Drosophila melanogaster: one gene and its partners. The protein of the gene in region 3 interacts with the protein of the main gene of each other region in a pairwise test. Each region holds a gene or a part of one and is shown on either strand. Other genes may lie near its edges. The genes, in order: CG30394, CG13012 and meigo.

Evidence for each region.
Region 1: the proteins of meigo (region 3) and CG30394 interact in a two-hybrid assay, tested with the Drosophila melanogaster proteins (one large-scale study listed by BioGRID).
Region 2: the proteins of meigo (region 3) and CG13012 interact in a two-hybrid assay, tested with the Drosophila melanogaster proteins (one large-scale study listed by BioGRID).

What each region holds. Positions count from the first base shown.
Region 1 is NT_033778.4:21,315,357-21,325,129, reverse strand, and holds CG30394 (uncharacterized protein), read left to right. Parts: upstream 1-1,809; 5' UTR 1,810-2,247; coding exon 2,248-2,622; intron 2,623-2,673; coding exon 2,674-2,912; intron 2,913-2,972; coding exon 2,973-3,121; intron 3,122-3,181; coding exon 3,182-3,318; intron 3,319-3,373; coding exon 3,374-4,969; 3' UTR 4,970-5,090; downstream 5,091-9,773. Other genes in the region: dom (domino), read right to left, coding at 1-260, 320-930; CG33655 (uncharacterized protein), read left to right, coding at 5,167-5,265, 5,327-5,551; CG9485 (uncharacterized protein), read right to left, coding at 5,728-7,049, 7,114-7,283, 7,344-7,521, 7,578-8,433, 8,491-9,773.
Region 2 is NC_004354.4:16,671,329-16,682,386, forward strand, and holds the start of CG13012 (uncharacterized protein), read right to left. Parts: upstream 5,426-11,058; 5' UTR 4,843-5,425; exon of another isoform or gene 4,808-4,842; intron 1,709-4,807; exon of another isoform or gene 1,585-1,708; intron 1-1,584. Other genes in the region: CG13010 (uncharacterized protein), read right to left, coding at 7,111-7,515; sing (singles bar), read left to right, coding at 7,987-8,298, 8,442-8,582, 8,657-8,734; Axs (abnormal X segregation), read right to left, coding at 8,940-8,973, 9,036-9,212, 9,273-10,243, 10,582-10,794, 10,873-11,058.
Region 3 is NT_033777.3:21,132,717-21,143,371, forward strand, and holds meigo (medial glomeruli), read left to right. Parts: upstream 1-5,553; 5' UTR 5,554-5,772; intron 5,773-5,838; 5' UTR 5,839-6,144; coding exon 6,145-6,349; intron 6,350-6,401; coding exon 6,402-6,863; intron 6,864-6,973; coding exon 6,974-7,323; 3' UTR 7,324-7,649; downstream 7,650-10,655. Other genes in the region: Trm7-34 (tRNA methyltransferase 7-34), read right to left, coding at 37-228, 284-933, 989-1,109; Usp8 (ubiquitin specific protease 8), read left to right, coding at 1,695-1,789, 1,853-2,341, 2,401-2,563, 2,619-3,101, 3,157-3,600, 3,999-4,229, 4,293-4,747, 4,804-5,134. UniProt on the Drosophila melanogaster protein: Probable sugar transporter.

The DNA of each region.
Region 1 (9,773 bases), on a different chromosome or scaffold from region 3:
CTTTTGTCGCTCCAGTACCGATGCCACTGACTAGTGAGGACTCCACAGAGTCTGTCTGTTGGGTGGTATATTTCTGATTCTGTGCCGCAGCTGCTGCTGCTGATGTGCTTGGCTTATCTTCGTGTATCAGCTGATCTATACGATTCGCATTGCTGTAGCTGATGAACTGCGGGGTTGGTGTCTTCTTGCGCCACGCGGGGTAGTCCATCATACTGCCGCCGTTTTGTAGGTAAAAGTATTCGGACACATTTTCAAGATGCCTTTTTAAAAGAAAATTTGTTATTCAGCGGTATTTGGTAATAAAAAAGTAGTAACTCACCTTTCTTTAAGATTACGCAAGATCTGCAATTTCTGCTGGAGTATGCGCTTCTTGAGGGCATTCAAGTCCTGCAGGGCCGTAGAAGAAAGCCCGCCGACCTCGCTGCTGGAGGCCACCGACGCTGGTAGCAGGGAGCTTACAATGTTGCTGCTCTCGGCTGGTCCAACAATGCTGGCGGCACTCGTCCTGTCCTCGTTGTCGTCCAAACGCTGACGCTTGGCCTGCGGCGGCAAAACAGAGGCTTCTATTGTGCTGGAGGAAACGGATACGTTGGAGTGGGCGGGTGCTGCTGCTGCTGCCGTTGCCTCTGCCGTTTGCTGTTGTTGTTGCGGCAAGGGCGACAGCGGCACAGGCAGCTGCGCACTGGCCAGTTGCTTCTGTTGTTTGCTGCTGCTGCTGGCGATTCCCTTCACTTGGGTCGCTATATGTTGGTGATGGCGGGTGGCCGGCAAGGCTGCTCCTACTGATCCTGCTGCTCGTACTGTTGTGCTTGTAGAATTGGCGGGGGCAACTGAAATTTCCGTTGAATGTGGAGTTACGCGGTCTGGCACAGCAGGAGGGGCCGGGCTGAGCCCTTCATGCCCCCCTCCTGCTGAATTACCTTCATTCATGTTTGAGACATCTGCAAAAAAAAATAGAAGGGGTGTGAGTTCACAGTGTTATTTTGAAATGACAGCGGATGGCGGGAAAAAGAAAACGTGGCCAGCCTCGAACATGTGCCGATGCTGCAGCCCTGGCCAAACCGCAGAACTCATTGACTCAATAACAGACATTAAATAATAATTTTACCGCTGCGTAATATCCATTATCAAACATGACGGGACAAAAGTCTACAATCATTTTAAAGACAGAATAAAAAAACGCTTATCACACAGAATGCACCCCTCGAAATCAAGAAAAATGCAACCCTGCGTCTTGGTTTTTTCCATTCGGCACACATACGCTTGCTTTTCCGATTTCCGCAAGGGAAATGTGAAAAACCTATAATGTGTGCACAATATTTTCCACTGTTTGAATGGTTTTAAATTTTCAACAGATTTTAACGCTCGAAATATGCACTACACACATAGATGAACACTGGTGGTGCTGGGAGCACGCTGCGAGAGGGAGATGACTATAGGTTGCGACATGGCGGCGTCGCTTTGTCAATTTTCGGCGCGGCAGACATTTTTTTTCACTATTTCCTACCTCAGACGGGGAGAATTTTAATCACAAGATTTCACCATCTCTGCAGGGCATCCGTGCTTGAAAATGGTGCCAATGCGTCGTGGAGAATCTGCTGCACTCGATGGTCTGCAAAATTGCACATTTATTAGATTTAATAAATTTTTCAACTGTCCGCGAGCACGTTTGCTCGTGTTGAATTTCGAGTACAAAATTAGTGCGACTGTTGGATTGCATTGAAATGCCAAAAATCGGTGTGACCATTTCGAAGTCCCCACAGGCTCATGACTTTCGCGGTTCACCAAATCCAAATAACGCAAGCTGGTCACGCTGTCAAACATCGGTGACGGAATGGTGACGACACAAACAATTTGCTTAAAAACTTTCTTGCGGCCGTAAAAATGCGCAAGCAGCCTGGCAGCGCAACGCACGTACACGTAATTGGAACAAATGTTTGCTGAACCACAACCGCCCACTAAATGTAAGCGCCAACGTCTTTTTCACCGCCGCCGCCGTCGTCGTCGTCGCCGGATTATTTTGTTTACAATTTTGCTTACACAAGTGCAATCGTCGATAGCGCTTCATTTTGGAGTAACAAGTAGTATTTTGCGCCGTACTGCTGTTCGCCGTATCAGACAGAAGGTTGGTATCAGTTCGACGCAGCTTGTGACGGTATTGCATACGCGGCGAAACGCCCACGTGAAAACGGATCGCAGTTCTCGAAACTCGGGATAAAAGAGAAAGTAGGCTGAATTCCCGGCAAGATGTTGGCCCACTCCGCGCATGTAATGACGTTGGCCAACAGCATCATAGGCGTCGGCATCTTGGCCATGCCGTTCTGCTTCCAGAAGTGCGGCATCCTGTTATCCATCGTTCTTCTTGTGCTAAGCAATGGAATAACCCGGGTTTGCTGCCACTATCTTATTAAAACCTCGCTGCTGACACGTAGGAGGAGCTTCGAGATGCTCGGTCTCCATGCTTTCGGTACTTCCGGCAAGCTGCTGGTGGAGCTGTGCATCATTGGCTACCTGATTGGAACGTGCATCACGTATTTTGTGGTCGTGGGCGATCTGGGTCCGCAGATAATCGCCAAGATTTTCGCGCTGGACGTGGCAGATCACCTGCATCTGCGGAGTCTGGTAAGAAAGTGCTATTCTATCCAAGAAGAGAAACTAACTCTTATCTACCAGGTCATGGTCGTAGTCACTGTGGTGTGCATAGTGCCCCTCGGCATGCTCCGCAATGTGGACAGCTTGTCCGCCGTTTGCACCGCGTCCATAGGTTTCTATGTCTGCCTAATTCTCAAGATCGTGTTGGAGGCCCAGCCACACATTACGGCCAACGACTGGACGGAAAAGGTGCTCTACTGGGAACCGGCGGGCGTACTCCAATGCCTACCCATCTTCAGCATGGCTCTCTCCTGCCAAATGTGTGTACACCCTGCTTTCTATGTCCGCAAAATTTATTTATATATCTGATCTATTTACAGGCAACTATTTGAGGTCTTTGAGAGCATTAACAACCAGAGTCTCGACAAATTAAACGGCATCGTCCGCAATGCCACTTGGATTTGTACTTTTGTTTACATATCTGTTGGTTTTTTCGGATATGTGGCGTTTTGTACGCACACCTTTTCGGGTAAGCCAGCCACCTTTTTGAGGCATTCTCTGTTCTACATATTTGGCTTTGTATTTATAGGCAACATTCTGGTGAACTTATCGACCTCCTTTGGTAGCGATATCATTAAAATTGGCTTTGTGCTGTCAATTGCTTTTAGTTTCCCATTGGTAATCTTTCCCTGCAGAGCCAGTCTCTATTCGCTGCTATACAGAAAGGTATTTTTGTAACTTCAGTTGGATGGTGTAGACACTAAATATCTATTTTGTATAGGGTCATACGGAAAGCAGTAGCTACATACCTGAACAACGCTTTCGATTCATCACTATCTTCATCGTTGTCTTTTCGTTATGCGTGGCTTTGGTTATTCCCTCCGTGGAGCTTATAATTGGCTTGGTGGGTTCCACCATTGGCGTAGCCATTTGTATAATGTTCCCCGCATCCAGTTTTCGAAAAATCATCAAAAAGGAATCTATGGAACGTACGCTTGCCCAGTTTGTATTCGTAAGTGGATTTCTATTGATGATCCTGGGAACGTATGCGAACCTAAGTGCAATTGATGAAAAGAGCTCCGGCCCGGAGTTTGATATGGTTGCCATAGGCACCCCTCTGTATCCCGATGGCCAAGTGCCAGCTGTCGTCGGCGAGCTACCAAAACATTTGGCCAAAGAATCCATTGACAGTGAAAAGAACCTATTGTTAAAGAAACTGGATGTCCAAAATCCAGACAAATTAAAACAAACCGTTGAGGATAAAGTTGTTGATATGCCGGAGGTAGTGCAATCAGCTTCCTCCGACAACCCACCGTTGCCACCACTGCCCATCGATGAAGTCCATGTAGTTCCCATAGATAGTAAAAATTCTGAAACGGATATTAAAAAACTACCAGTAGAAGCCGTAGAAGCAAACCCACCAGAAGCCAAACCACTCGATGTCAACCTTACCGTGGATAAGCCCAAGAATAATCCGCCTGCTGTTGCTGCATCGCTTCCAGATAAACCAAAAATTGGATCGAGCTTGTTATCAGCAAGCAATACAATTGATGGAGCGGCCATCAAGAAGGAGGAGGACGTGGCTGCCGAAGAGCAAAAGGAAAGTAAGGCTAATGCAGATGAGCTACTCAAAACCCAAAAGGAATTAAAGGAGACCAAAAAACTATTGGCGAAAACCGTTGGGGAGCTAAACGAAGAGTTGGCCAAGAAAAATTCATTTAATCAGCCACCTTTGGAGTTACAGAAAGATGAGCCTTTGGATACTGGTGCGAAATTTGCCGAGGAACCGAAGAAGGCTGAAATTAAGCTTAAGGAGTCGCAGCCAGTTGCGGACGAAAAGAAGGAGAGAAGGCGGCAGGCATCGTTAATGGACATACTCACGGAAAATACACATTTGCGCGATGAAAAGGAGGCCCATGCCGGCGTTTTTGAACCTCTATCCTACAAAACCGGAGAGTTACTCAGGAATTCGACCGTAGATAAAGAAGCGCTTATCAAACGATTGCCCATTCCACTAGCCCTAATGGTGAATTCTACTCAGCCGAAATCATCGAATGACTCGGAGATCAAGAAACCCAACCTTGAAGACAATGTAGAGGCCATTCGCCGGGAGCTGCTCAATCTGCGAAGTTCGGCGGATGCGACAGAGCAGCCACCGGCAAGGGTTAAACGTGAGGCCTCAAACGACGAGAACTGCCTACGCCAGCCCAAGCTGGATGAAGTGAATAATAATGTGGCTGCAGCTGCCTTGAGCTTGAACATGGAAAGTATTGGACGCGATCTCAAATCCATCAAAGATGATGACGTCGAGATAGTTACTGAAAACGAATCCTACCAAGCGAGTCCAAATGGAACCCAAACTTCGCTGCAGACGTAATGCGGATAGTTTACAACTATGCAAAGCTTTATGTATATAACCTTTACATGTATTTATTTAGTTTATAAGAAACTGTAGACTAGAAGTATATACAAATTATATACAGTTCATATGACTTGGGAATATTGTGTCAAATTTCTCGTGGAGTTGCTAGCAAAATTGTATGTGAAGCCCAGGTTTTTTGTAATTCCATCAAAATGTCCATCGTCCTTGATGTTATCCAACAAGTTGTGTTGCAGAAAGCTTACGATCTAACATGCGAGGCAGCCATTTTAGCCTTGAGAAAATGTGGCAAAGTGAGTAGGTGTAATATTTTTAAAATAATATTTATATCGCAATGGTTAATTTCTATTTAAGCTGAAAATAGAGGATGGTAAATCGAAAGCAAAGCGTGAAAAGCCTCTACCTCCGGTCAAGCCTATTTCCCAGGAAGCGGTTTCACCAATGAAAGCTCCAACGATTCCCGAGGCTAACACCATTCCAAAATATACGGGACGGGACATGCCTCGAAAGAACTTTGGCTCCATCGATCCCCCCCAATGCTCCTGCATGCGTGTGTGCCGAGATAGTTACTTCTCTTAGACGAAAAAGAACGCTTAAAAACAATTGCAACTTTAATAGAATAGGAATAGCAAAATTTCAAGGGACCTCAGGCATCGAATCTCATTCCATCTTGTATCCGTACAATTATCAAACGTAACACTAATAACAGTTTTTGGTAGCAACTAACAGGTTTGAATATGAGTATTTACGGTGGTTTAGGCCACGTCTGCTCCCAAGGAGTGCAGATCGTACAGGACTTCCAAAATGGCAGCAACACTCCAGGCCTGCGTGCGACAGGAGTCACCGCAGTAGGAGCCATTATCGTTGGTCAACTCGGGCAATCCGCGCCAATGGGATGTCTGTAGCTCTCGGAGATGGGCCCGTAGTATGGCCCAGGTCTCGGCAATGGTCTCGTCCAAATGGCCACACTTTTTGGCGAAGATCAGGCGCGCCCGCAGGTAAAAACCGATGGGCCATACCCACTCCGGCCCCTGGTGGTAGTTTGCGCCATGGGCTACAGTGCAATCGGTGGAGTCATTTGAGTTGTCATAGTTGGCCCTATAGTTCCAGTCCTCGGGATCCATCGTCTTCATGCCCAGCGGTCCCAGAAGATACTTTTTGGCGCGCTCCAGTGCACGCCAGGCATTCTGAGGATTGCACAGGTCGGGAGCCACGGTCAAGGTGATGGGGAAGTTGCATCGCAGCTGGTAGTCCGTCCAACTCTGGGTGGCTCCATAGCTGTCCTTGTAGATAAGCTTCTTGTTGGCCACCGAGCAGGTTTCCGATTCGGATACAAAGAAATACTTGTCAAAGTTGTTCTTGATGCGATCCGCCCACTCCTTGTAGCTCCACTTGGTCACTTCGCCCGATGGACCCTTTCGTTCCACGCCGGTGTACGGGATAACCTCCTTTTCGGCTAGGCTTTGCATAAACCGGAGTACGGCATACTGGAGGCCAACGAGCTCCACGGCTGATCCGTCGCGCGGCGTACTTGGACGTCCCTTGTTTCCGGCCTTCTGTGAGGATCCCATTTTGTCCATCCAAGTGCCGCAGTTGAAGTTATTGCCTCCGAATACAAAGCCAGTCTCCGGGTGAATTCCGATCTGATTGTTAAAGCCCTGGTCCACCATGTGCGCATCGATCTCATAGCCTGCATTGCGCTCCCTATACTGCAAGCCCTGAAAATGCACCTGCAGTGCCTCCTGCATCACGTCGAAGAGAAGTTGGTCGAAGGCACCTGGAGCATGGGCATCGGCATCGTCGTACGGAAATATGCGGGACACCTTGTCCTTCAGGATCTCGGCACCCTTGGGGGCATCCTCCACATACTGCTTGATGCAGTACATCCACCACCAGATAGCATCGCGGCAGTTGAATCTCGGCTTGCTGCCGCTGTCCAAAAGATTCGGAATGAGTCCGTGTCGAAGGGTCTGACCAAATCCAATGATGATGAAGCGAGCCTCGTTGTAACGGCCAGTGAGGAACATGGAGCCACGCAGAGCGATGAAGGTATCACGGCCCCAGCACCGCATATAGCCTACATAAATGGTTGAATATTCCATTATTCCGTTTCGATTGTTAAATATAATAGATAAACTCACCCGTTGAGAAATGCGGCAGACCAGCAGATAGAGTCACACATTGCTTTGGAGGCTTGGGTGGACTTAGAGCAGGACTGAATCCCGGCAGATTGGCCGACTTGCAAACGGAGAGGAACTGCAACGTGGACAGGGCCAGGGATTGTGGGAAACTGTGGCCATTCTTAATGAAGCTGTAAAAATTAAAGACTTAATAAAAACTCCATGAATGCAGTCGGCTCTAATGGACATACTCTGGCATTAGTTCGTTGACCTGGTTGATGAGCACATTGTAAACCCCGCTGACAATGGCATCAAAGTAGCAGGGTATGAGGTAGCGTGGAATATTCTTCAGTGGCTCAAAGGTAGCTTTGAACCAGGCGGAGAGTGGTTTCAGGTCTTCATAACTAGTTAGGCGATCAGAAATGTAATCTGAAAAGAATTATGTTGTAAAGTAACTACATAAATCTCTATCTTTACAAACTTACCCATCATCCAGTTTCCGTCGCGCAGATTGTTACAAAGCGGATGTCCCAAGTCATTTTTAGGCGAAATCTCCGTCAACAGGGAAATGAATCCTTGCAATCCGCAGTAAACGATCTTTCCAAAGTTGGGAATGTCGTAGGCGGTGCCACCTTTGCCAAGATCCCTCTCCTCATCATCGCAGCTGAAAAGGGCACCACTAAGTGCCACCAGATCCAACTTGGAGACGATAGCCTGCAGCTGGGAATACTCCTCGCCAGATCCAATACGCAGGGCAGCCGAGATTTTCTGGAGCTTATCGAAACTGGTGCGAGGACCAGGATGCATAGACACTCTGATGGCCACCACAGTGCCGGGTCGTAGATTGGCAAAGTTTAGCTCCGTGTTGTTGCCATCCGAATAGGCTTGGGTCTGAAACACTGTCGACTTAGCCAGCGGGATGTGCTCCTGCAGATTCAACTGGAACTGAGTAAAGCCGTTGATTACATTCGGATCCTTTTTGAATGGAGCAGGACGATCGAATGGCTTGTCACTCTGCATGGTCAAGCTGGCCTCCAGGATGATCTCGTCCAGCACACCCTCGAAACGCAGCGGGCGGATTCCGGTGGGTCCGGCATTAGGAGAGGGATAGCCAAAGGCAGTGTGGGCCACGAGAATAACTGACTGATGCGTGATTGGCGAATGACGAGTAACTGCAACTACGTTGGGATCCATCTGGTCTACGTAAACTTGGCTAAATCCCTCCTCTGCGAGCTGTCCATGCAGCAAATTCAGTGCTCTTTTGGCACCCATAATTCCGGACTTCGAGTCAACACCTTTGCCCCATTCTTGGTAGGTGCGTTCCTCATCTACGACATGGATCTGGGAAAAAAGTATGAGTTAGTTTCAGGAATAAATCTTAAACGAATGAACGCTCACATGATGGGGGACCAGTTCGTCGTAACCACGGTTACTTCCTGTGGCACAGCATGCCATGGAAACCAGTGCCGCCGATGGTAGAAGATCGTACACGGAACGCTTCTCCACCGGAGACGGATTATCGTGGGTGAGGTCCAGGAAGAGGGCATGAGCGACACTGGTGGCCTCGTGGCGCGATGAGTTTGCTTGGAAACCACCTACAGGCACTCCTCCATACCGATACACTAAGCGGCCTTGCTCGTGGGAGTCCCAAGCGGAAAGAGCTTCACGGATCAAGGAGGTGATACCCAATCGGTTCACAAACACATTGTCGGTGTAATCGGAATTGGTGAACAGTTCAGCCACCACATACAGCTCTGGGTTGATCTTACGAGCTGCATCGAGAAGGTACTCAGCTACGTGCAATGGCGTGGAGTGGCAGTTGTCCAATCGCACACCGTCGAAGATGCGCGCTGTGGTCTGAACGTACTCGGTCATGTGCTGCCATAGGTAGGGACTGTCCTCCGGCCGTCTGCCGAAGCGCAACTTCACACTATCGCCCCACGAGATGAGCTCCCGCTTGAGGTAGACATTGGCGCGTCCAGGTTGCTCCTCAGCAAAATCCCTCAGAGGATCGCTGTATCCCATGACCCAACCGTTGTGGGCCATGAAGAACTCTCCAGCCTTGGTATACATATCCGCCTCGATCTCAGTGAGCGATTTTCCCTGGGTGCCGGTATGCGTAAAGTAGACCATAAAGACCGAGTGCTTCTCGGAGATCTCCTTCACTCTGGGCCCATCGCCCTGGACTCTTTCGTAGCGAACTCCGGCCAAAACATTGTCTATCGCATAGTTTATGTAGCCTTGAACCTCGCAGCGCACACGATCGTTGAGGGCATCGAGATGCCGGCGGAGGGTTTCGGCGCACTTGCGGAACCGTGACTCCTCATCGAAGCAGTCGCCATGGAAAGCATTAAAGATCTCCAGCGCCAGCTCGAAATTAATGGTGCTGGCCAAGCGTCGATATTGCGGGTCCTGTATCAGTTGGATTTCCTGGAAGCGACACTCGTTGGCCACATTCTTCGGTGGCTCGCGAGTTCGCACCTGGGACATGAACTCGTTCACGTACTTCATCACATCGCACTGATACAGCTCGTGTATATTGACCTTGGACATGTAGGAGGTGTGCAACTGGTACTTTAACGCTTCCAAATGGCACTCCTGCTCGATGACCGCAGGTACGCCTACATGCTCCAGGCTGCCCTCGGCTATGTCCGCTCCGCACTGGGCGAATGTGGCGTCCA
Region 2 (11,058 bases), on a different chromosome or scaffold from region 3:
CATACGTTAATAGTCTATGTATGGGTCGCAACTTGGCGAGGTTTCACTGTGGACATTTGATAAGACATCCATTCAGCCACTCAAAAGCTGTGCAAACACTTTGGAAATATACTCAAAAACTAGTTTCCCCTTAAAAAATATATTTATATCAAGTTAAGTGCGGAAGTAAACTGAACTATATAATATTCAGAGAAACCAATTAAGATTTTCCAAGTAAATATATATTACTTGTTTTCGTACAAAAAAACCGACTGTAACTGCTGATGCTTTCAAATTAGTTAGGAATTTTATCTGTCACGTTTGCCAATTAGGCGTTGGTTGTATCCACCAAAAAACAAAAAAAAAAAAATTGGAAGGAGAATCGTGTCTGGAAAAGTATCTAAAATAAGATAGGCACTAAAACCCTTTTATGTGCCATCAGAAGCTGCCAAATGGGGAATATCTCCAGTTGTCACCTATTATTCCGTGTTTCTTCTCCAAATGATTGGAGAGGGGGAGGGAGGGAGGTAGGGAGAGTTCCAAAAGGTAAATTGATTTGGCTTCATGATTGGAATTTAAAGGCCCGTCTGATTAGCACAGTATGCTTGTTTTCTATGAGATCCCCCACATGATTTGCATGCGAATCGAATAACTATCGAAAACTAAGCGATATAAAGTTTGCTGGAAGTGCGAAAGGTGCACCGAGAAAAAATGTGCGTAGGTTTCAATAATACTGGCATAAATACAACATCATGTAGGGCTCTTGAATAAAAACTAAGACATTCATTCAACATTTCTTTGGTCTGTTTTTTTTGCATTGAATACAAGGATTAAAAACAACTAAACTATTTGTTGACAAATGAAGCTAGAATATAAGAAGGTATATATGTATGTATATTAAAGTAAGAAGATATATATTCTTTAAAAATTATATACTTTCTTGTCACGCTACAAAAAAAGGGCAGAAGCCGAAAAGGTTTTTAAAAAGTTAGTATAAAGGTATATGTATTTTAGGGCCTAAGAGAGTCTAATTGAACTGATTAACTTTCGCACTTGCACTCATAATTTTAAACATTTTATTTGTTTTATTAGTTGTTTATTCAAGAAAGTCTCTGTTATTATTTCATTTTTTTGTTAAATGAACCGGAAGGAATGGGATGTGGAAAGCGGGATTGCATGCTAAGTCGCTGGAGAAATGCGAGCACGATTTTCAACTCGTACATATGAGCACAATGTTCTACGATATATGTACATATGTACAATATATATGATATAGTATGTGATATATGTAGTGTCGCGTCTTCTGTAGTTGTTTAGCCACCGCGCCATTAATAATTTAATTAATTTAATCATTTGTGGTGGCAACAATTTGCAATTTAATGGCACAAATTACGGCTCGCAAATGGCATAGCGGCGAAATTTTCGAATTAAAATTCGGCAATCATCTAAATTTGCACATTAAAATGAATGTAGAACGCGCCATTCGAAAATTCACGCCAATCAATTGATTATCACTGAACACAAATCTACAGAGCACAAAAATGGCACTGGATATAAGATATATGTAGGATATTACGATATAAGATATATTGGCCAAGAACTAACCACTCACTTGCAATATCTCTGTATCAAAATTCAAGATGCACTCTACTAATCGTATTTTGGCCTTATGCTCGTTGTATTCGTTTTTTACTTTTAACTCTGAACTAATGCCGCCGACAATCGGCGTTCGACTAATGCGCTCTACGTAAAGCCCAAACGTAACTTTCGATTGCGCCAAAAGCGGCGGCTGCGACGCCGACTGCGCAGTCGCGAGAATGTCGAGAAAGGCGGCTTAACCCTATAAAGGCCAAACACTTTGTTTTGGGCCAATTTAGGAACATGAAAATGAAAGCAGTTAGATCGCTGGCATCATGTAGATAAATGAAGTAAGAGTATTCTAGCTCTGGCTTATGCAACAGAAAGACTCAACAAATTGCATTAGTTTTATGCAATTTGGTGTTTCCACATTTATTAAGTACGATTACCGGATTTGCCTAACACACACACACACACACACACACAAGTGTGGATAAAACAATAATATGCATTAACTTCAATAAATGCACACGCGACTCGATTCAGACGTCTATCACTCATACGCACTGTTGGCCGGTTCAGGCGTGCTCGATTTAATTACCATTAATTAAAATGAATTGAATTGATTTGATTTTATTTTATTTTATTTATCACTTCCAGCGACTGCAAAATCTTCTTTTGAATTTAGAGCGAGTTGCTTTAAACATATATAACCATTTGACAAAATGGTGGGCTATTTTCGTGTATATCTGATATACTTGGGGTTAAAACGGGAGGGAGACGCGATCTCCGTCAAGTTGAGCCGGGTCTACTTTTCATACGATACGAAAATGATCTTAAATCTAATTAAAATGTAACGAACGCAATGGAATTGAAATGGAAATCGTTGTCAAATGAAAGCGATGCCAGCGTCTCAATGCCAGCGATCAAGTCAGTTACGAATAGAACGGCATTTGCAGTAGATCAAGGTGGGGGAAGATCGCCATCGCCATCGCCATCGTCATCGTCATCAGCTATTGTCATCGCCGAACCCCTGGGAACATGATTTATCGATTTGACGATACCAGATGGGCTGATAAGCAGCATAGCGAACACGATCCTCAGGAATTCGAGGTACTTGGGTACATGGCGCCTCACAGAGAAAACTAAAACCCATGTACAAGTATCTAAGGGCGCATACAGCAGCGGCCAAGATGGTAGGATTATCAAGCAATTGAAAGGCCCAAGCTTCTGGTATAATTTAAGAAAACTAAACGACTTCCTTGAACGCATCTAGTACACTTGTCTGCCCAAGTGATCATATCATAAATCATAATATCATATCATATCATTATATCATAAATCTAACAAAGAAGTAATTACCTTGATATGCCCAGATCAGCTTAGATCACATTAAAATTTGCAGTGTACCCATTAAAAAAAGGGTTTTAATTTTTCTTCAAAATTTCTCGTTTACTTGCGTCCGCAATTGTTTGTGTGTCAGCACACCTCCGGCCACGCCCACTTCGACAACAAGTGGGCGACAAGTATTTTTTTTTCGCAATGACGCAGATGGACAGACTGGGCAAACTGTTTTTTGTTTTTCTCCCACAAATTGACAATCCAAAGTGGCTACCATTCCGGAATTTTCCGTTCCGGATGGGAAGACTCTTCCGCTTTGGATCCATCAGTGGGGGTGAATCATCGATACTCGATAATCGATTCTCGATTGTTTCGATAAGCTAGAAGATTTGGTTTTCAGCAACTCGTTGGCTTATAAAACCAAAGAGAGGCATGCTATCAGTATATAGATTCCATATCTATAACTATTCCCTGAAAACATAAATAACAAATTGTTCGTATCAATCTAGTTAGTTTTCAATTAAAGAGCAATGACTAAGATTATTTGTGCGGCACGAACATATATTTAGTAATTAAACTTATGAGTACGCTGCTATGTTTTTCTTTAAAGATAAGATTTCGGCGAAATATTATGGATCGCCGGTCATATCAGGTCATCTAATCAGGAACTCAAACTCAAAGGATATCTACTCGGAACTGCAGTGTCACTCCGAAACTGAGGTTTTCCCACCTGAGACAGCATTGCAGAAGATATAGTACATTACCATGTGATTTTGGACTTTCCAATCGAGGGGCACTTGTTCACATTCTGTCAACTCATCTCCGGTGCGGGGCACGCAGCGCGTAGTACACTGGGAGAAACTGGTTGACATTTCAAAATTCAATTTCGATAATGCGTCATTTATGAGTGTGACATTCTTTCGCATTCTTTCCTACCTGAGCTTACCTTTATTTTATTTAACAACTTATATATATATATATATATATATATATATACATATATATTGGGGCTCTATTTGTACTTAAGAAAAGGATTTCAAATTAAAGTGGGCCACAGCGATATGGGTTCGAGTGTACTTGTTTTGCAAACGTTTAAAAGTCGCCAAGTTCCTCCACCTCTACGTTTTTAGACTTCCAAAAATCATGACAATAGCAAATGATAGTGACGTCGACGGGGCGGCAAACAAATTGCTATAAATAAATGGCAATCGCAGGTTATACCACTTCTAGACCAGGATCGCATCGGATCGGTTAACTATAGACATGATGGGTATATATAATAGTCAATCAGTGTGCCAGACTGGCCAGGCACTTGGCCATTATCTTCTCACTTGGCTCGATGTTGGCCCAGATAAAGCCTTTTTGTTTACGGCCCTTCATTGCGACTTTCGCCCCAAGAAATCGCCCCTTCTGCATCTTGTTGTTGCCCCATGAATTGGCGTTTCAGCAAAAAAAAAAAAACAAAAAAAGGAAAAAAAATATAAAAATATACTCTATTTTAAACATTTGTGCTGCTCGCACTTGTTGTTGGTCTATCAACACCCACCACTCACAATTGTGCTTCGTACTATTAAACTTTAAGTACGAAGCACAAAATATTTGCTATTTGCCAGCAAGTTGTTGCCAATTGACAGCTGCATTTGGCTGTTAATGGGGAAAAGCGATTTGTTTAGCCAGCCAACAACAGTTTTTAGACTGTTTAAGTTCTGGGAAAAGCACATTCATTCACTTTCAAAACGATCGTAACAACGCTCTTTCTAACTCACTTTATAAATTTTTGAAATATTTAGCTCTTTTCCATACATCTAATGTATATTATTTTTACTAATTTTAATATTTACGAATTTTGTTATGTTGTTTTCTTATGCTGAAATTATATTGTTGATATTTTTGAGGAATTTGTACATACATATTGCTTTTGGCCACGTTTCCCATCATAAATACCGTTTTCTCAGATGATTTCAATTGTTTCCTGTTCTGGGTTTTCTCTCGCCAGATTGGATCTCTCGAAATGTGCTATATAGTATATAGAATGTCCGATATAATGTCCGATTTGGCGGCTGGAAATAACAGGCCGTTGACTGATGTTTGCGATTTATTTAATTAAATGCCCCGTTGTTGTGTACGTTGTTATTTTGTTTTTTTATTTTTTTTTTAAGGCGATTTGGAGATTGTCAGGCGACCGAAATAAACAAATACAAAACTGCAAATGAAAATGAAAATGCAACTGAACGCGAGAATTTGTCGCACTTTTAATTTGACTGAACAACAATCAGCGCACTGTGTCGACTTTTTGCCTTTTTTTTTGTTTCTTTTTTTTTTTGTGTAAGTCTTGCCGCAATTAATGGCACAACCATTAACAATTTACAAGTGGTTTTTTTTCGATTTTTCAGTGCGAATTATTTTTACATTCCTTGTTTGTTCGCTTCTTCACGTAAACATTTGAAAATTTAACATTTTCTTTGTTATATTGTTTCGTTGCTGCGACGTCAGACGCATTTGCGCCAATGAGAGAAAGGCAGACAGAGCTTTCCCATTTTCCGCCCGATCGGCGGATATTATGTATATATATATACATAACTTTAACCACAGATGCCTATGTGTAAATTCTATAGTCTTGACTTTTAAAATAAACAAGAGAGCATAAAGAGATCTTTGTGTGTTCGTAGTTGTTGTTTTTTCGGAAAAGCGAAAAATCGCAAAATGCCTCTCATCCCACATTTCCAATTGGATGAAGTTGGACGGGCGATTGATTATTGACCAACTAACTGCAATGATTTATGCACGTGCAAAATTCGTGACGAAATTGGCAAATTCCTAATTGCAGATTGCAAAATTTCCGCTTTATGGAGTGTGGAGGGGGGTGGAGGGGGTTTTGCAACGATTTATGCAAATTCTGAACGGTTTCACTTGTTACAGCATTTCTGGGGCGTCATCGTTATAGCTACCTTTTATTCGAAACATCACTTAAAAAAATTTTAAAATTAATAAGTATATAAGAATTGCATACATTTAAAGAATTGCATTACAATCCATTTTTACATATTCAAGAAGAATTATAAATAAGCGCTTGAATATATTAATACAAAAGTAGATGAATGTATACAGGAAAATATTTTTTTAAATATTTTTAAACTATACTTGTTTATTCTACAAAAATAACTCAAATACCTTCGTTTCTAATGCAATCTTAGATTTTAAACCTTCATATTTATTGTCTTATTTGTAATCTTATTATTATTGGTATATTTTTACATAAATTGCCTTTCGCTTAGCCCCAATTTCTCGCAGTGTAGCCGCCCATTGACGCAAGCGACAGCGCACAACAATAGCGGTAGGAGCAACAATAACAACTGCCGGCAGCAACAATTACTTGTGATAACAGCCACATTATTTTATTGTCAAAAAGCATCCACCCCCGCACGAGCACCACACCCCCCACCCCCCCACACACAACAAACAATCCCACAAACATGTACATCTATATAGATATATGAATGTATATAATCCCACCGATCGGGCTTAGCCACATAAATTGCCGCTGCGACTGATAAATTACACTAATCGCTGGCGGTGCCGACGTTTGAGCTTTGTTTGCATCCCGCTCCTGTCCCTGCCCCTGCCACGCCCCCTTCCCGGACACAACACGATCTTCTAGAGCGCCAACCGATCGGCTAAAGAAATCGGAGAACAGAGCGGGCACAAAGAAAGCTCAGGGGCGTAGAGATCGACGGGGAAAGTGAAAGTACATATGTACATACATACATATAACTTGGCCATAACTTCCCTGATTTATTGACCAATTTAGTTGGCAACTTTATTTCAGTTTAGATTATTCATGTTTTGCAGGATTCCCCCAGTTTCATTATCTCATCTAAAAATTTATCTATTTTAAATGTACTGACAGTTTGACGAGATCTGGAAGCCTAACACGAATTTTTGAAAACTATTATTAAAATAAATTATTGTAGTTGAGAGAACGTTTTAAAATGCTATAATAGGTTGCCATAATTACCATATAGAAACTTAAGAACTTTTGGTGTTCCAAAGGTTCGAAATGGAACATTTTTATTTAACTAATATCTTGAAAGCGAAAAAAGCAAAAGATTTTTGATAAGTGTATAGGGGACTACTGCAAGCCAAATTTCGATGACCATCAACTCCTATTGAATATATGCATTGCAATTCGCTGCAATCCCGATCCTTGGCAGTCTAGAGCGACTCAATGCTGGACTTCTTGTTCTTGCTCATGCCAAAGTATCCCCACCAGGAGCGGCGCGACCTCGCCTCGTCGGCTGGAGCAGCACTGGTGGCCATCGAGGCGGTGGCGTTGCGCACAGCTCCTCGGGAGGCGGTCGCCAGAGGTTGCTCCGCATTATCCTCATTGCTGCTGACACTGGACTCAGGAGGATTGGCAGCGGTGGTACTACGGCGACCGGCGGACTTGCCGGATTTAGCCGACTTCGCTGACTTCGCTGACTTGGCGGACTTGACGGTGTCCATGGAGACCTGGGTCACATTGGCCAGGCTGGGCAGTGGGGTGACGCCTCCATCGCGGGTGCGACGCTGCCGGCGATCGCCTCCACCGAAGAGCTTACTCAAATACGGCATGCACATCCTGGCAGTGGTTCACGTTCGCGTGAGCTCGAAATTTGGGGAATTATGCTTAACGTTTTTTTTTTTTGGAACGATTCGAATTGGCGACTAGAATTTGGATGGCATCGAAAATCAAACTGAACGTAGGATAGCAAACACTTGGGTAAATGGATCAAATTAAAAGGTGAAAAGGTTGATATCCAAGTTGTATCAATATTTTAACATATATATCATGTAGTTTCAGAGAAATTAAATCGGATATTTAAGGAAGATACCTTCCGCATAGACAAATCCTCGCCCATTGTGAATTGCTGTTCTAAATTTAGCTGGAGATTGGGGTGGATTTGTTGCCACGTCGCTGGAAATGCAAGGAAATGCACCACTTGGGGTCCATGTGTATCGGCAGCTATTTATAGAACCTGGTTGGCTGGCACTACGACAACATACAACAAAGCGGAGTCGCTGCATCGCCGGATCAGTTGCAATCAGACCATGGCCTCGTTTGGAGTTCGAGGAATGGGCCAGCCGCTGGGCATTCGGATATGCTGTTGTCGCGTCTGCACCTGCATCAATTTCGGGTTCGTTCTGTCGCGGATCGGCCTCCTGAAGCTGATGCAACTGGGCCTGGCCATGCTCTGCGAGGGACTGCTCATCCGCTACGGCGTACCATACGCCGATTCCATTGGCCAGGCGCTAACCAGCTTCCTGGCCACAACCGGCCACTGCTTCACCACCACTGGCATCCTGCTACTGTGCTACGCCTTCTCCGACAAATCCTACAGTCTCATTCGGCAGTCACTATTCGTAGGTTGACTTGGAGCGCTTTTCCAAGTGAAGAATAGATTCTCTACTAACTTGCTCGAACACAAAATTCAATTCAAATTGAAGGATGCATTTTAATTTTAATTTTTTCTGATCTAACGATATGGTGATTGCTCTTATTCCAGGAGACCTTGTTCAATGGCCTCGCCAGCTGCATGTACTTCAGCTCATCCAGTTACATGGGTTTCGCCTGCGTGGTATGGCTACATCCGCAGTTCCTGGTGCGACCCGGATTCTGGGCATATCCGGCCATGACAGCCTGCTATGTAAGTACTGCTGATTTAAATAAAAAATATGCCTATATTTAACCAAAAATCCCTTTAAACTCCTTAACTTTCAGTACATGGGCTATGCAGCGGGAATATTGCATGCCCTGGATGCCTACTTGGCGTTCCGGCACTTCCGAGGCGCACGCTAATCCCGGCCAGACAAAAGCAGTATCTTAAGTACTCTGTGGACATATTTATATGAGTTTTAGGTTTAAGGCACCTTACTTCCGTTGGTCTCGAACATTCGCGGTAAACGCGATTAGTCGTATGTTTATAAATAATAACATTTAAAATGGACTGGTTTCATTAGCACCAAAAGGAGTGGAGTGGGAGATCCGGCGATCTTGTGGCCCATCAGGCCATCTTGTTGGCCTCCGCCTTGAATTTTCTGCAAGTACATAGTTCGTTAGATGTTTTATTGTTTCTCCATTGAATTCGTTTTACACCCACTTGAGTTGCTTGAGAGCCTGGCTGGTCTCGAAGTCCGCCTTTAGCAGTCCGATGCGCACCCAGCGCGGCCTTTCGTGAATAACCTTGTGGATGAGAAACTTCAGGCCCAGCAGCAAGTGTTCGAAGATTACGAACGAAAGATCCGGCACCGATGGCAGCCAGTGAGAGAAGAAGTCCCTGATGGATTAAAAAAAGGATGATTATCAGTAAGAAAGTCAGAAAAAGGCCAAAACTCACTTGACATTCGGCTGAAGGAAGAGCAGACCGCAGTTGCTAAGCAACGACATCACTGAGAGCAGCTCGAAGGCCAGCTGCCAGGCGCCGATGTTCTTGGCGCGCCTTGCAAATGGTCGCTTAAAGATGTTGCACAGCTTCCACATATCAATGTGCACCGCAAAGACGTTGTTCAGCAGAGCTCCAATGGCGGCAAATGGGGCAACGGCGGCAAACAGGACCACGAATCCAAACTGGATGCATACCTGCAGGTAGTCCTCGTACGTGGAATGATATTCATCTAGTCCGGATTCGTAGAACGATTGCTCGTAGCGCGGCAGATCACTGATGGATCGCAGCTTCTCCTCGGCCACCTCGCGATGACGGAACTCGGCGTACTTCTGGCGCAGCACCGCCAGCAGCGGTATACCAATCTCCTGGGCGATGCACAGCAGCTGGAAGACCAGCAGTTGCATCATCAACTGGTACTTCAGCTGGCGCAGATCGTGCAGCACGAAGGCAATATAGAACTGCGAGAAGAAGTTATTCACGATCTCGAAGAGCATCAGCTTATTGACCCGATGACGATCGTACTGCGATCGAGTTCGATGGTTCTCCAGGTTGGTGAGGAATGTGGCCAGCTTTTCGTATGCCCACGAAAAGATCGCAATCAGCACCGACTGCACAATAACCGGCACGTACAGCAGCCAGGAGTCTGGTCCGAAATCCGCCAGCACCTCGGCTTCGATCTGAAACTGGTAGAGGGCAAACCAGCCGGCGGCAACCACACAGCCCAGCACCACCGGATACGAGATGCAGTACATCTGCAGGTATGTGTACCGCATCGGATAGTGGAGTGTCATCTTGCCGGTGATGGGGTCCGGTTTCAATTGGCCCGTATATGCGGATCGCGGCTTGTCCAGGCTGCTCATCTCAATGGTGCCCCATCGATACGAGTAGCCGGCACACTTACGCTTCCACAACTCCAGGAAAATCTAAAAATATAGGAATATGTTAATATAAAATCGATTGGAAGACCAAAACCATAACGTTTTATGCCAGCTCTAGTGTATTTAATCTTTAGTTAACTGTTTTTTGTGGCAATGATTTAGTCGGTGTATAGATATATTTAAACTATTCAAACTTGAAAATTGGTAAAACTGCAAGATCAAAATACATACATGCTAGCTATTTTTACTATAGCACTTAAAAGTTTCCAACTTAAGAGCACTTAAGTGATGCTATACTTAGATTTATAAGCTGTAAAAGCAATTTATTTTTATTGTGCAAAGGTTTACTTTGTTTCGCCTTGAAAATTAACAATTTAACTCACCGTGGTCCAAACAACGTAGAAACTGCAGACCAGCGAGATGTTCAGATCGAATACATATTGGAGTATACCAAAAAGGGAGGGAAAGATCAGTGCCTTCGTGTAGAACTCGATGAAGCCGAAATAAAGACCTATACTGGAACCAAAGTAGTTCCGGATGTCCTCGATGGGCAGCTTGGTGCGTTTCAGGTTCCAGTTGAAGCGTTCGAGATACAGCTAAGTGTATAGATTGATGCATTGCATAACATTAGACAATCTATCCATGTATATAATTAGGATATATTTATAACTTACGATATCGTGGAGGGGAAACATATCCTCTATGTAGCCCTTTTGCACGTAGGACTTAATGCCGTCCTGGATTACGTCCTTGATGAGAACAGGTATCTCGCAGTAGCGCAGGATCTGCTCTTTGCCCATCCCGGGCAGTAGAAAGTCCGAGATGCAGCCGTGATTGAACTTTTGCATGCTGTGCGTGGT
Region 3 (10,655 bases):
TCATATTCATAACTTTTCATTTTTTAAAGCTTTTATTTACGTTACACAGGCACCTAACTTCTCAGACTTATTCTCATCATTCTCTAGCCATTTCTTCAACATTTCCTCATCGTGAATAACGCGAATGCCTTCATATTTTATGTTCACTTGGCTCGTTTTCTGCAGAATGTCCTGATAGGCGGCCGTCAAGGGTTGCTGCACTGGCTCTTTATACACATAGTTCTCGCCCTAAAACAAAACATTTTAGTGGTTTAAACCAAACGAAGATATAGTATTAACATACCAAATCGTATGTGCGATCCGAGTCCAACTCGCCCTTGTAGGCAACAAAGGGAACTTGAACCACGGGCGGGCTCTCCTTCTTTCTGCCCACCCACGACTCGGGTTGATCGTGCCATTCGGTCGTCAGGTTGCAAGGCTTGTAGCCATCGGGCAGACAAAACTCTCGGGCCACCACGAAGGCTTCAATGCTGGAGTTGCGCGAGGCGGAGGGCTTGAACACGCATACGTTCTTAAAGAACCGCTTGAGCTGAGTGTACAACCGACTGGTCCTGTCTGCCCGGTAGATCTTGGACACGAAGGAGCCTCCCTCTTCCAGTATGAAGGTGGATATGCTGAGGGCGGAGAGAAGTAGTTCGCCCTGAACGTACGAGTCAAAGTCGTGCATTCCAGTAGAATCGGGAGCGCCATCGCTAACAACAATCTGTGCCTTCTCGCCGCCAAAGAACTCAATTATGGCCTCGGCTGTCGACTCCTTGCTGATGTCCGCCCGCAGTTGTTTGACTCCTTCGATCGGAGCCATTCCCTGCAGGTCTACGGCGATGATCTTTACCTTTTCCCGTTCCTCTGGCGGCAGAGGCTCGTACAAGCGTTTGGCCAGCACCTGTGACCAGCTGCCAGGAGCGGCGCAAAGGTCCACGGCTCGGGTGAGACCTGAAATAAGTGGACAATTAGAATCGCTCCGAAAAACACGCGGTTGGATCTGCACCTTCTAGCAACTGAAAGGTCTCATCCGCCTGGAGCAGTTTGAAAGCACTTCGTGCACGCCATCCCTGCTCCTTGGCCAGGCGGTAGAATATGTCTCGTTTATCCTTCGAAGTCCTGCCCATTTAAAAATAATAAAAACAAAAGGGTATCAGCTGTGATACGACATCTACAGTGCTGTCGTTTTAGCCGTTTTCCCTTCAACTTTGGGAGTTTATTGGTATTAAAAACATTAAAAAGTTTGCAAGTGTGAGCTCGAATTTATAGTTTTAAAATATATATCATTCATTTTGTGTTAAAATATAATTTTATATTTAAATGGTAGATTAGGAAAAAGAATCAATTTTGTTTCCAAATCCATAGAAATAGCTACAAAATGTAGTTTAGCTTTAATCTTCATAATATTGAGTTACATATTCATTATATTTGAATTTGTTTATTTGAAATAAAACACGTACAGCTAAAATACATATCTAGTTGGATTTTCAATATTAATAGCTAAATGGCTAAATTTGCACAATCTAAATTTGCACTTCTGACAGCGCCATCCTATTTCTTTGTTATCGATAAATTTCATGCAAAATAACAAATGATTGTGTTGTTGCAGCCCAGCCCGCAGATTGAGAAATTCCTGCTATGAGAACAGGAAAATCGGCGAGATCCCGATTCCCAAATTCAACGTAGCCCGCCCCGACAACAAAAAACGAATAATGGCCAAGTTGAAGAAACTGCATATGAGCTCCAACCTTGATGACCTGGAGAAGATGTCCATCATTCCGGATCTGCGCAGCAAGGGCATGAAAATGTAAGTGGACACCGCGATTTGGTGCTGATGCGGCTGTTTTGATTTACCTGGCATTCTTCGCAGCCTACTGAACACCGCCCGCAAACTGTACATGACCGCCGAGGAGTACAGACTGGATGGCGACGAGGAACTGGCCTACATCACCTACATGAAGTACTTCAATATGCTGACCGCAATTCACAAAAAATCCGATTACCCCAGCCACAAGACGACGGTGCGCCAGATGCTGGGCGACACCGAGTCGAATCGCCGCATTATGGACACGCTGGAGGAGATTATCAACTCTCTGCGGCATCGTTATGCTCAGCAGCACCAAGCGCCGGAACCAATTGCTCCCGACCTGGTTAGCAATGGGCGTGCGGGTGTGGACTCGCCGATAACACAGCCAACGCAGTACGCCCGACTTGGGCTGATAACCTGTCAGGATCTGTATCGGCGCATGCAGGAGAAATCGGTCCTAGTTATGGACTGTCGCCCAAGCGCCGACTACGAGGCCTCCCACCTCACGTACTACTGTGCATTTAATGTGCCCGAGGAGTTGATAACGCCAGGGTGAGTTGTCCATTATAATAATCTCGCTATTTGGATACTAACTTATTGGATTTACACAGAATGTCGGCTGGCAGATTGCAGGCTCGTCTTAGCAGCAGCGCCAAGGCGTCGTGGGCATCGCGTTCCGTCAAGGATTCGGTGGTTCTTATGGACTGGAACACCAAAGATGCCCAACCGGCGACCAACACAGCCATTTCAACCCTTCTGGACATCCTGAAGAACGTGAGTATGGGTGGTATTTAGCCATAGATTACATATAATCATTATTTTCTGGTAGTGGGATCCGGATGTGACGTATCGCGCACCCATTCAAATTGTCGAGGGCGGTTATGAGTACTTCATTATGATGTACCCGACCCATTGCACTAATCCCAGTGTGCAGGCGCCGCAGCAGAACAACAACGACATTGAGACCATCGATGATATCGAGTATCCCTCAATCCACGACATCACCATGAAGGAGGATATTAGTGCGAAGGACTTCAGACCGCGTCCAGACTTCAATCGGGCCAACAAGCCAGCGGCCACTCGCGTTAATGAACAGGGAATTTCCCGTCCTTCTCCGCCGGCTAAGCCCATTGCTGAGATCATGCGTGATCAGGCCGAGTTTTTGCAGCGCGCAGAGCAGAACGATGAGCAGTTGGAGAAGGCCTCAAAAATGTGGAAGCGTCAAGCAGCAGAGGGCGATGGTTTGAATGCTACCGAGGACCAGGAGTTGCACTTCAGGATCCTACAGTTGGAGAGCAAGGCCCAGGACTATGTAAGATCTATAAATTACCTTATAAGGTTCGATTAATTGTTCGTTTGTGTCGTAGATCGTGGAAAACAATCGTCTGCGAGAAGAACTAAGTCGCATACAAGAGCTACACAATGTTACGCAGCAGTTGTCGCAAAAGGAGGTCGAGGCAACGAGGAATATAGAATCCAAGATCCGCGAACGACAGCGCTTGGACGAGCAGCATGAACTTGAACGTCAAGAGCGGGAGCGCCTTTTGGCGATCGCTCGCGAGACAAAAAAGCATTACAAGTCACCAACACCTTCGGGCCCGCCTTCGCCGGGCAGGAACTTGGAGGACGTACATGTCGTGTCAGACAGCCTGGAATCCCTGCTCCAGTTGACTGGCGATCCGGATCCGACAATTGCGCCAAACAAGGCGGAAATACCAACATTCGATCGGGCGATGAAACCGCAGCCGAGGAATGTGGAGAGGACATCGCAACGCGTTCGTGATTTCTCGCCTGTCATTGGTCAGAATGTGGTAAGTATTGCTTGGGTAGTGGTGGTTGACTCACTGGCCACATAAATATAGCCGCGACACGAGTCAAATCAATAGCCAGCGGGTCACGTTTTGAAGACACCCGCCCAGACGTGCGCCGTTCTTGGTGCGCTTTCTACCCCCACTCTCAGTCGCTCGACGTCCGCACTCAAAGCATGTTCAAACCAAAGAAACGTACAATTGCCATACTGTTAAGCAGGAATAGCATTATACAGGATTCCGCGAATGATTTGTGTAGCGGGCGTGAGGCTCCAGCTGCCAACAGCTCCGCCCACCTACAGCATTTATAGCTCCATCTTTCCGCTGAGACGAGTAATAGCTATAGATTTTATTTTCCTCTATCTCCGAATAGTTAACTATATCCTTGGATAACATTTCAGGGTCGTGGACTGACTGGACTGAAGAATCTGGGCAACACCTGCTATATGAACAGCATACTGCAGTGCCTGAGCAACACGCCTCAGTTGACCGAGTACTGCATTTCGGACAAATACAAGAATTACATCAGCAGAAGCAACAAGACTAATGGCCAGGTGATCGAAGAGGTGGCTGCACTCATCAAGGAGCTCTGGAATGGACAGTACAAGTGTGTGGCCAGCCGAGATTTGAGGGTATGCAACTGAAAAAAAAAAAACACCCAAATTTCTTTCTAAACTAAACATACTTCATTGCAGTACGTTGTGGGCCAGTACCAGAAGATCTTCCGCGGCGTTGACCAGCAGGACTCACACGAATTCCTCACCATCCTGATGGACTGGCTGCACTCGGATCTCCAGACCCTACATGTGCCCCGTCAGCGGGAGATGATCAGTGCGTCGGAAAAGGCTTGGCTGGAATTTACCAAGGCGAAGGAGAGCATGATTCTGCATTTATTCTATGGCCAAATGAAGAGCACTGTGAAATGTGTGGCCTGCCACAAGGAGTCCGCCACGTACGAGAGTTTTTCTAATCTCAGCCTGGAGCTGCCGCCAAACTCGAATGTATGTCAGCTGAACCAGTGCATGGACATGTACTTCAGTGGAGAAAGGATCCATGGCTGGAATTGTCCTAGTTGTAAAACGAAAAGAGATGCCATCAAGAAGCTGGATATATCGAAGCTGCCACCTGTGCTGGTGGTGCATCTTAAGCGGTAAGTGATGCTAACACTATGCTATGCTTGTTTATAATTTCTTAAATCCCGCATAGCTTCTATGCGGATCCCAGTAACTCTGGCTCGTACATGAAGAAGCAGAACTACTTGCGCTTCCCGCTCGAGAACTTGGACATGAATCCCTACATAGCACGGGCGGAATCGCGGGCGGTAACACCTAAGACCTACCAGCTGTACGCCGTATCCAATCACTACGGCACCATGGAAGGCGGGCACTACACGGCATTTTGCAAGAGCGCCAACTACGGAAAATGGTTCAAGTTCGACGATCAGGTCGTCTCGGCGTTGGACTCCTCTAACGTGGTTTCTAGCGCTGCATACATTCTTTTCTACACCTGGCTGCCACCCATGCAGGTGCCTCTGTAGACGCTTCGCTCGGTTTCCTTTCGGTTTTTACCCCTTTCGTTTTAATTGTTTTTTGTTTTTCTCTCATATTATAGCTTTTAAGGTCTAGTCGCCACACCCTTTTATCATTTACAAATTACCGCTTAACTGTTAACTGCTATTTAAGAGGATAATCGCTTGTTTGTTGTTGTCTAGGCTCTTAGAACAGTATTACGCGTGGGCGTATTTTCAATGGGTGCAGGCTGCATTCACTAAAACCAAGAACTTCAAGTGCATTACCAGTGTAACAAAGAGAAGCCCGCATATACGCCTGTGTATGCGGGACTATAGTTTATTGTATTTTGCAAATATATTTTAAAACCAAATAAACGAAATTCAATTTCTGATACAAAGAATTTCTTTGAAAGAATCATGCGTAGGGTTTTTAGAAAACAAATTGGGGAGAGCGGGTATTTTACACTCAACAAATAATATAAAAAAGGGGGTGAAAGTTATTTTACCATTGCAAAGAAAAATTCAGCTAATTTTCGCGCCGAAAAGTTCAATTCGAGATATCCGATAAGTAAATATATTCACTTCCAACTAACGGTCACACTGTAAAACGCCCCCGCTCTTTAGCAAATGCAGTGTTGCCAACTCTTGCTTTCAATAAATAGCTAGTTAGTTGATTTATCAATTATTACATTTATAGTGTTTTATGTATGCCCTATTTTTCATTTATAAAGAGTTATGATTTAAACTTATTAAATAAGATGATGAAATTGATGATTCAAAAGAAGAACATAGCTATAACAGTGCACCTAAAAAATGGCCAAAAATACAGGTGCTTGCAATCACTTAATCTAATCTGGCTAGTAGCCAGCTAAAGCGGCAGCACCGACCACGTATTTGATTGGATTATTTGATAGTCAACGCCAAATCACGGCACTGCAGCCGCGACTCCAGAGAATGCCAACTGTTTAGGATCGTGCATTAAGTCCGACTTAACCAATTCGCAAGTCACACGCTTTAAAAACCGTCATCTGCCCGCCATGAATCTGCCGGAACGCAGCCGTTTTGTGATCTACGCCGTCGGTATCTTCGTATGCTACTTCTTGTACGGAATTGTCCAGGAGAAGTTGACGCGGGGCCGCTACGGCGAGGAGGTACAGACAGATGGATCCGTGGGAGAGCGCTTCACTTACGCCTTGGCCCTTGTTTGGGTGCAGTGCCTCTGCAACTATGTGTTTGCCAAGGGTAAGGATTACGTGGACTTGTAACGAATCAATTCTGATCTGTGGTCTTCCAGTGCTGCTGACCATTAGGCCGCAAAAGGAGGACACCACCAACGCGGGCTCCTACGTGGCCTGTTCGCTGACCTATCTTCTGGCCATGGTCTCCACCAATATGGCCATGCGCTGGGTTCCCTATCCCACTGCTGTGGTGGGTAAATCCGCCAAGCCCATCCCCGTCATGATCCTGGGCGTGCTGATTGGTCGCAAATCCTACAGCTGGACGCGCTATGCTTGCGTATTGACCATTGTCCTGGGAGTTATTCTCTTTATGTACAAGGAGGGCAAGGTGTCCAATTTGCCGGCTGAGACCACGCTTCTCGGCGAGGTGCTGCTCTTCCTCAGTTTGTCAATGGACGGATTGACTGGAGCCGTTCAGGAACGCATCCGAGCGGCCAGCGCGCCTTCCGGTCAGCAGATGATGAGGGCCATGAACTTCTGGAGCACCCTGATGCTTGGCGTTGCCATGGTATTTACAGGTGAGTGTTAAAAACACTTTATTTGAGCTAAAAATATTGGCTAAGACCTTTTTATGTAAGCCCCATACGTTTTTATAAATGTTCTGAAAAACTATAAAAAAAATCTTCAGGTGAGGCCAAGGAATTCATGTACTTCACCATCCGACATCCCGAGGCGTGGACCCATTTATCGCTGATAGCTGTGTGCGGCGTGCTCGGTCAGTTCTTCATCTTTCTGATGGTGGCCAGCTTTGGACCTCTGGCCTGCTCCGTGGTTACGACGACGCGAAAGTTCTTTACCGTCCTGTGCTCCGTTCTGCTGTTCGGAAACGTCCTGATTGCCCGCCAGTGGCTTGGAGCTGTCCTGGTGTTCGCCGCACTCTTTGTGGACATGCTGTACGGCAAGAAGGCGCCACTGGCTACGGCCAAAAAGCCGCCAGTCGAGGGAAAGCTATCCGAGGAAAAGAAACTGAATTCGTAGAATTTGATAGATGATTGCATAGCCCTATGTACTGTACATACACAAATTAAGAAGACAATGCTTCCGGCTCGAGCGGCTGCAGCGCCAAAGTTTCCCCATTTCCTAGAACTGCTTATCGTACAAAGGATTCTAGCTATAGCGAACACAGCATTCGATACTTGATCTGCAACCCATAGACCGTCGTTTAAGTTAATTAAATTATTGATATCTATTAGAAAAGGAACAAATATTGTGCAAAAGTTTACACCAGACCTGCGGGTCTCTAACATACAGGATCATTCAATCATTTAATGCTACAATTTATAATTAAAACGTGCTCTTTTATTAATGGTTGTATTATTTATATGGAACGTTACTAAGAAGGCCTAACAAAGGCAACTTATTTTCTGGCTCAGTTTAATAAATATTTTCCCATTTTTTTTTGTATTTTCTTTAACTTGAATTTAAAGCGCTTAAATCAGAGCTGCCACCTTACACGAAATGTGAACTACGTTCATAGGCAAAAGTAAGATGCTATGAAACTCGAGTTCCAAGATAAAATATCAATTTCGTGTTATACTGAAATAAGATTTAATATTGTGTTAGCTACTATATAAACCGTAATAATATGAAAAAAAGACTACACAAATTAGTTGTATCGATACCGCGACGAATCAATTGGCAACAATCGATAGGATCACTTTGCCGACCCTGGCAACTCTAGTTTATTGCCGTAGCCGTTGCAGATACGGTCGAAATTTTCAGAATGTTTTTAAAATGTATAAATCCAGTGTGCGCAATGCTAATTATACAATAAACTAATCGGGACGAAAATTTCCGAAAAATAAAAGAACGCATGTTTCGAGTTTCGGAACGGAACGGAAGGAAACACAAACGCGAAATTAAGCGAAAGTTGGAAAAAGGATATGCCCAGTATTAGCGGGAAAATGCAATAAAAATTGCAAAGAAAAGCAATCGAAATGCAAAAATTGTGATTATTTTTAACAGCAACGAATGCAGTGTGACGTGTGATTAAAAAGAATAATAAAATTGGCTCGTTTGCATAAATCAAATAAAATATTTTCTTATTGGATGAGTCGCACTCTAGTTGTTGTTGTTGCTGCTACCGCTGCCAGCTGTTTGACTGTGTATTTGTTTTTGCCCTGGTGACGTCCGTGCGCGTGTGTATGCGAGTGTCTTTTAGTGCTTTGGCTTAATTTTAGCAACTAAATTCGATCGAAAGTGAGTGTGGGTCGCAGCGACGCGAATAAAAGCAAAGACAAAGGCGGCAAAGTAAGTGAATTGTGTGTACATAAGCGGGATATGTAAGATGTAATTTCAAAATTTTACTCTGTAAATGTGCTCACATGTTGAAGTGGGAGTGAAAGCACGATAAACAACCCCAAATCACGCTGTCGCCCTGTCTCTTTTCATCTTTCTTTTTGTGGGGGTGGCTGGTCATATGTACCGTTAGCCGGCTGTTGTGTTCTCTTCCTCTCTCTCTCCCTCTCTCGGAATAACGGTTAAACGGAAGCCGGCTAAATGCATTATGTAAAGTTTTAACTTGTGCCCCAATTTAATGTCACACTCCCACTTATCAGCGTGTCGTCAGACGGAATAATTGTGGAAAAGTGATTTATGCTTGCCACTCTCTGTCCCGCTCTTTGGCAGATAGCGAAATTAAGCGCCTCCAGCCCCTCTTATCGCCCGAGTTAAGTCCGTGATCGAGGGTGGAGCCTTTTGTGAAGATATGATGTGTAAATGTATGAAGGTTTTTAAGTTTCAGCAGATAGTTGTAGTGTGAAGATTTCCAATAAAGAATACGACTGACTTTCTTGAAGTTCAAAATCAGTATCAAGTTTATTGTCAGAGAGTGGCTACTCGAGTCCTCCGTTTTCGTCTTATACATAAGTACATAGGTTCTTAATTGTAAGCATAATGAACATGCCGACTCGGCATGTGGCTGGCTAGCTGGGGACAATGTTGCAGTGCGACTTTTGTGTAATGTCAGCATTCGGCCGGAATGTCAGCATTCGGCCGGATGCGGTGTTCCAGTTGCCGTCTTCCCGGTTGAGTGTCCGATGATTTGTTTAGAGGCGTGGGGGTTTAGGGGGTGGGGTGGTAACTCCTCCCCCCCCAGTTCGAAGTGACGGCCATAGCGAAGGTATGGATGACGCGTAGATTGGTACGTGATGATCCTCGTGGATGTGGACGATGTGTTTCGTTCGTCGGTGCAGCCATAAGATGACTGCTAGGAACGTTACCAATCCGAGCAGAGTGTAGAGTGTCCAGGTGTGCTGTATAGTATTGTGATGGACGGCCAGGATTTTATCCATTGTTTGGGTGGCTTCGAGGTGCAGTTTTTCTAGGCTTAGTACCGTAATAGTGGTATTCCTAGTTACTTTTCGCATGGGGGGAAGATCAAAATCCGTCTGTTCAGGGAACGTGTCAACCGTGCCGTCGTAATCGATACCGTTAATCTGTATTGTTTCGTTAATGTATCTGATGATGGCTGACCCCATTATTGAGAGCTCGGAGCCGTTTGTTAGGGATACCTTCAGTTTGTTCACGTTGAATGCGAAGATGTAACCTCTCTCTGCCTCGAACACGTCGGTGATGGGGCCGGTTTCCCGTACATCGCAGGAACTGTTTTCTCCGTTCAAAAGGTGTTCCAGGCATGTGTTGTTCTGTGGTGTATCAACGTAGAAGTTCTCGTCGCACAAGAATGTATTATCCAGTTTGGGGCATTTACGGGTCATATGAAATTTCTTATTATTAATATTATAAGCTAGGTAATTTGGGGTTATTACAAAATATGTGTTATTTATTGGTAATGGAACTAGTCTGGCGAGGGTATGAAAAGGTTGTTTAAAAATTGGGACTTTGATATTAAAAATAATCTTTTGTTCGTAATTTAGTGTATTCATTTGTAGGAAATTGTATATACTTTGTTCATTTTTGACTGTGATATTTTGTTTTTCCAGTATTGTTTTTATTTTATCCATTTCTTGTTCATTTAGGATGAACTTGGGAATTATATTTATTTTCGCCAATAGCATACTTTCTGTTATGTCGTTTAGGTGGTTAATGAATAATTCTATGTTATAATTAATCCTATTTAAATATTGTATTTCTTCCAGAAGGGTATCTTGTAAGTTTAAGTGTTTGTATATTTTGTTTTGTGAGGTATCAAAGAATTTACTTATCAAAATTTGTTCATTATTTATATGGTCCGTGATATTTTCGAACCGGATAAGTATTTCGTTGTTAAACATTACTTGTTTTTGGAGATTGTCGTTACTGACTTCGGAATTTTTCTTTATATTGTCAAGTTCTTCATGTATTTCTTTATT